Linked DNA regions of Drosophila melanogaster. The protein of the gene in region 1 interacts with the protein of each later gene in a pairwise test. Each region holds a gene or a part of one and is shown in the gene's direction. Other genes may lie near its edges.

Evidence for each region.
Region 2: the proteins of CG17470 (region 1) and robl22E interact in a two-hybrid assay, tested with the Drosophila melanogaster proteins (one large-scale study listed by BioGRID).

What each region holds. Positions count from the first base shown.
Region 1 is NT_033779.5:20,641,768-20,645,257, reverse strand, and holds CG17470 (uncharacterized protein), read left to right. Parts: upstream 1-2,013; 5' UTR 2,014-2,153; coding exon 2,154-2,801; 3' UTR 2,802-2,952; downstream 2,953-3,490. Other genes in the region: phr6-4 ((6-4)-photolyase), read left to right, coding at 1-594, 658-1,613.
Region 2 is NT_033779.5:2,289,658-2,292,677, reverse strand, and holds robl22E (robl22E), read left to right. Parts: upstream 1-1,939; 5' UTR 1,940-1,974; intron 1,975-1,979; exon of another isoform or gene 1,980-2,035; 5' UTR 2,036-2,055; coding exon 2,056-2,349; 3' UTR 2,350-2,454; downstream 2,455-3,020.

The sequences.
Region 1 (3,490 bases):
CGCACATTTTTACCGCCGCTAACGCTGCTCCAGGAAAATACTTTGTTCGCCCGATTTTCATTTTGGATCCAGGAATCCTCGATTGGATGCAAGTGGGTGCCAATCGATGGCGATTCCTGCAGCAAACGCTGGAGGACTTGGATAACCAGCTTCGGAAACTTAATTCCCGTCTGTTTGTGGTGCGCGGGAAGCCCGCAGAGGTTTTTCCCCGTATTTTTAAGAGTTGGCGCGTGGAAATGCTAACTTTTGAGACAGATATCGAGCCGTACTCCGTGACCCGGGATGCTGCCGTGCAGAAGTTGGCCAAGGCAGAGGGTGTGAGAGTGGAAACTCATTGCTCCCACACGATTTATAATCCGGAATTAGTAATAGCGAAGAATCTTGGCAAGGCTCCAATTACCTATCAAAAGTTCCTGGGCATTGTGGAGCAACTAAAGGTACCTAAAGTTCTAGGGGTTCCTGAAAAGCTTAAAAACATGCCTACACCACCCAAAGATGAGGTGGAGCAAAAGGATTCGGCGGCCTATGATTGTCCTACGATGAAGCAATTAGTAAAACGCCCGGAGGAACTGGGCCCTAATAAGTTTCCGGGAGGTAAAAACATAGTTAAACTCTTGATCACAACTACAACAATGTGGATTTCTTTTTATCAAACAGGCGAAACAGAGGCACTGCGCCGCATGGAGGAATCCCTAAAGGATGAAATTTGGGTTGCCCGCTTTGAGAAGCCCAACACGGCACCCAACTCGCTGGAGCCTAGCACTACCGTACTAAGCCCTTACCTCAAATTTGGATGCCTTAGTGCCCGACTGTTCAATCAAAAGCTCAAGGAAATTATCAAACGCCAGCCGAAGCACTCGCAGCCGCCCGTTTCGCTCATTGGACAACTCATGTGGAGGGAATTTTACTACACAGTGGCGGCTGCGGAACCCAATTTCGATCGAATGTTGGGCAATGTATACTGCATGCAAATTCCGTGGCAGGAGCATCCAGATCACTTGGAGGCCTGGACACACGGACGCACAGGATATCCTTTCATCGACGCCATCATGCGTCAGCTGCGCCAGGAGGGTTGGATCCATCATCTGGCCCGGCATGCAGTGGCATGTTTCTTAACGCGCGGAGACCTCTGGATCAGTTGGGAGGAGGGACAGCGGGTGTTCGAGCAGCTGCTGCTGGATCAGGACTGGGCACTAAACGCTGGCAACTGGATGTGGCTATCTGCGTCCGCTTTCTTTCACCAGTATTTTCGCGTCTACAGTCCGGTGGCGTTTGGCAAGAAAACGGATCCCCAAGGGCACTATATCAGGAAGTATGTGCCGGAACTCTCAAAATATCCTGCTGGCTGTATTTATGAGCCCTGGAAGGCGTCGCTGGTGGATCAGCGGGCATACGGCTGCGTCCTCGGCACGGATTATCCCCACCGGATTGTTAAACACGAAGTGGTGCACAAGGAGAACATTAAGAGAATGGGCGCCGCCTACAAAGTAAATCGGGAGGTGCGCACTGGCAAGGAGGAGGAGTCGTCTTTCGAGGAGAAATCAGAAACCTCCACGTCTGGCAAGCGGAAGGTGCGAAGGGCAACCGGAAGTGCCCCTAAGCGAAAACGTTAAAACCTAAAATTTGTTCGCTACCTTATGTAAAAGGTAGTTAGATCTACGGAGTGAGCTAATATGAATTAAGGATGGAAGAATTGTTTTATGTACTATTTTAGGTATAAATCTATAAACTTCTTGATTGTTACCCTACCGAAATTTAGGTATAAAACGAGTATATAGTATTTGTTGGAATTGGAATTGGAATTGGAATGTTCGAGTTGTCAATAGGTATAAGAGGGTGACAAAAGAATATGTTTAAACGCTTGTGTACTTCACATAAAATGCACCAATAAAGATATTGATACGGCGATAGTGATTTCATTTATATTTCAATTTCAGTAATTATCAGTAACCAGTGTAGCCTGGCCTTTAACTTCCTTCACAATCGAGATTTGTCAGTTGTCGGGTTTAGCTGGGAATTTTAGTCATATCTAAAATTTCGGCAACATAAGACCTTCCAATTTTTGTTTGTAAATAAGAACGTTTTTTAAATTTAACTTCGGTTTTTGTTCTGTTGGGTAGTTAGTTTCCGCACTCGAAACACCGACAAAAACCATGTTTCGCAATCTTTCGATGCTGAGGAATCAGCTGGCGCTGCACCGTGTCCGTGTGGCCCGCTCGACCTTGCACTCCAAAATGTCTACTGGTCTTACTTGCCTCACCATTGACCGTCCGCGGAACATCGATGGCGTGACCGTGATAGATATCAATATAAATGAGATGGCCAAGACTGACGTAGAGTTTAATCGCAATTTCGTCAATTCGCTGACATTGATGGACCATACTCCATTCAAAGAGGTGACCAACATAGTGGACGCGGATGCAGTTGAGTCGCCACCAGCAGAGAATCCGATTTCTGGAGATACCGTGGAGATCCTGCCTACTGGCGCACCTAGTTCCGTCGTAGGCGTCGACGGCAACCCCATTGTCCCCATCGAGATTGATGGCTGGAACCAGGACGAGGAGGATCCCACCGTGCAAAAGAACGTCCAGGACGTGGACATTGGTAACGATGACGAGTACAAGGCCGAGATGGAGCTGCGGGTGCCGGAGGTCAGGGAAGGTCGAACCGAGTACAAGGGCATCAAGGTGACGTTGCCGGAATCGGCCAACCAGGATGTCGGCACTTATCGCTTCCGCCGCGATCCAAAGGATCTGGAGGAGGTCGGCGACGACACGCGCCTGGTTCGATACGACAAGTAGAAAAACTGGTTCCAAAATTCTTAAGGATTTTTTTGGACGACTTCCGCTTGCGACTATTCCAATTTTTTAGCGTATTCAATAGGTTTTCGGTAAAAGGAAGCACTAGCATTGATGTAATAAAAAAAAACATATTTATATGTTCAGTTAATAGAAATTTTACTTTTTTCTTTGCTTCATTAATCTGTAAACTAAAATTTAGCCTTATTGCCTGATCTAGATAGAAATGCGACCATATGGACTCGCATCCGCAATCTGCAAAATTGCAAATTTGTCCAAAGTTCGATTGACGATTATGATGCGGACATGGCCACTAAGAACTGTCAGTTGGCAACCGGTCATGCTTTAATGAAAACCCAACTAGAGACCGCGACCACTATTTTAACCCACCCATGCCACATGCCGCATGCCCCATACCCCATGCCCCGCGCCTACATCCACATCCACTCTCCATATCACAAAAGATCGCTTTGTGGTCAGTGGCAACCGAATCCGGGGCAAACACTTCCCATAAATTGCATTAAAAGCGGGCCAGGAGCGAAAACTACTCGCAACAATGCAGCCGGACATAAACACGCTGCAAAATGTTTGTAGGCTCTAAACCAAAATTGAATTTGCGGTTTTGCCTGCGGGGCGTGGCAGTGGGCGTGGGTGTGGCCGTGGGCGTAGCTGTTGGCGTAGGCATTTAGTCG
Region 2 (3,020 bases), about 18 Mb from region 1:
CCACAGCCACATTGCTCAATCATAATTTAAATTTGGCCAGGACGAGATTATCCTGCATAGAGAGCAGGATACCGGAGGCCAGGACAATGTAATGTAATGGCTGCGTGTGCTCCTTGCTAATTGCAAATGAAATACGATTCTCATTAACTTGTCCTGGCTCGTAATTCACTTACTCGAATTTGCCACTTGAAATCGAAGGCCTCTGGATCGGTTGGCATGTTGGTCCTGTTCTGTTGATCTCATTATCACCTTGCGGCATTGTTGAAATATTTGCAAGAGTGTCCAAATACGGCCAACGATTCGTTGATTAACAAATTATGATTTATTAAACGGCCTTATGCAAATGCAACGAATGCAGGATGTGAGAGGTGACAAAGCGGAGGAAGTGCCAGATGAATGATAAACTGATAAAAAAAAAAATGAATTAATTGGCAATTAATTACGGATTCATTAAACGAGTCAAATATCATCGAAATAAAATGTATTTGCGCGCACACTTAAATCGCTCGAATGTCAGTGCCAAAGTATTTCTTTGGCAACATTTTAAAGCCGAGTGTCGGAAGGGCCGGGAAAATTTAATGTGATTTATGTCGGACCGAATTGTATGCATAAATAACGCACTCGAATTATTATTAAATGCGAAGGACAAACTTGTTTTCATAAATATCAAATTACGTACATTGCAGCATATTTTCCCATTAAACAAATACACCAATCGCCAACAGACTGGCCAAATTGCTTTGTCCGCCAAAAACATGTTTTTGTGTTCCACCTGACTTTGTAGCCACTGAAAAGCGAGTGTGTTTGCTGGTTGCATATTGCAGATTGCAAAAACATTTGTAAATGTTTCAGCTTTAGTTTGGTGAGCGAGAGTCAACAGCCAAACAGGATCAAGGACTCTGGTTCTGGCTGTGACTCCGAGTCCTGTTGGATTGGAGTTGGGATATTTGTGTTGCTTTTTTTTATGTTCGCCCACCGTGCAAAACTAACTATTTATTCAACAAATATGCAATAAAATGCATAGTCGGTCTTCACATTTTCCCGCCCATTTCCAGCCCCATTTAACGCAGTTAGAAGCGCATTTTCCGCATTTTCAATTCTCCGGCATTGCATGACAAATTGCATTTGAGGTTTTTCACATGGACATTGATTTAATTACCAAATGAATTTCCTTGCCGGCCAAAAGTCGAATAAGAAGTTTAATTTCCCCCAAGTCTGGCCAGCAATTTGCATATACACTGGCCAAATCCTTTTACGTATCTGTATGTCCGCCTGCCCTCTGCCCGTTTGAGTAATTTCATTATGAGTTTTAAGACTTTTAATTAATTTAAAAAGTGAACAATTTTGCACTCTTTTTCATAACAACTCCGGCCGGAGTCCGCATTGCATTCCGTAGTCCTCAGTAGTCCGGCTTTTGTCTGGCGTAGTCTGGACGAACCGGAAGAGTGGCATAATTTCCGCACCGCCTCGAACTTGATGCAAACATTTCATCTGCATCTGCATTTCGAGTGGTCCGGAGAGCAGGAGCCAGAACAGGAACAGAATCGGAATCGGAATCCGGATCAGGAGCCAAGGCAGGGGCACTGGCAGCATCAACAGCATTCAATTAATTTTCCGTACTTCTGCCATCCACAAAAGCGAAACTTTTGCAGTCCGACATCCGGCATTGTTGCCAACTTGAATGCTTATTTACGGACACAACAGCGCCAGAATCTCCCGGATTATGCCGAACATCATAAAACTTGTATCGACTCGTTAAACTGGCAAATGAAATGAACCCGACAGATGACAAAGCAGCCTCAATTATACGGATATCAAATGGAAATATGCAAAGTTAGTTGTAATATGGGGAATATTTCTTAGTATTAAACTATTGTGAACTATGCTAACGAGTAGTCTGATTAAATTTGAAAATATATTTAGTGAAGTGAGTGAGTTACTTCAAGTATGCCCGGAGCTTTCATTCATTTGCATGTATGGTTGTATTGTAGTAGCAGAACGAACACCTTCTTTGCATCGAAATTTCTCTAATAAGGTAATCGAATAGACGCAAGGATGTCCGCCGAAGTGGAGGAACTATTGAAGCGCTTTCAGTCCATGAAGAACGTCACCGGCATAGTTGTGGTGGACAACGACGGCATTCCGATCAAAACGACCCTGGACTACACTCTGACACTCCACTACGCGGCACTGATGCAAACGGTGCGGGAGAAGGCTCGCCAGGTGGTCCTGGATCTGGACGCCACCAACGAATTCACCTTCCTGCGGCTGCGGACTGAGCAGAATGAGGTGATGCTGTGCCCGCAGGAAGATTACTTCATCATGGTGATCCAGAGCCCGTGCGACTAGAGCACAATATTCCAGGCCCAAGCTCATTCCGCTGGCAATTATTTTCAGGCAGAGTGTTCAGTAAATGTTATTAAAATACTCGGCATAGTCTCGATTTCGCACACCAGCATTTCGTCATTAATAGCATTCAGTTGCAAATTATTTGCATTGGGAATCGCAATTGAATTGGAATGTCACTTGCGTGCGGAGCACTCTTATTCGATATGCATCCTTTGGCCCGCATGCATACATATACGATATGCATGGATCCTTTACCCCACGAAACCCGGCATCCTGTCCGGGCAAACTCATTTACAATAAATGAAGACTGACTGAGGCAGCCACGAAACAAATAAACTTTTTTGCGGCCTCGCCAGGATGCGAGCATGTAGGGATACGGATGCCACGGCCACCGAAGTGGAGGTTCCTCCTCTGGGCTTTGCTATTTTTCATTTAATTAAATATTTTACATGCAAAGTGCATTATGAGCAGTGGGCGAGGCAAAAACCAAGCAGATAACTTGGTAAAGTCACACGGGCGCCTCTCGGGAGGCCAGGACATCGATGCCAATCCATCTATCCACCGGTGCAGGACGAAACTATTCACTCGAGATAACTTCATGAACAGTTGTGGCAGGATATAGAGCACTACTGTCGCAGCCATCAATTCGAGACACCGCAAAAGGGGGGCAG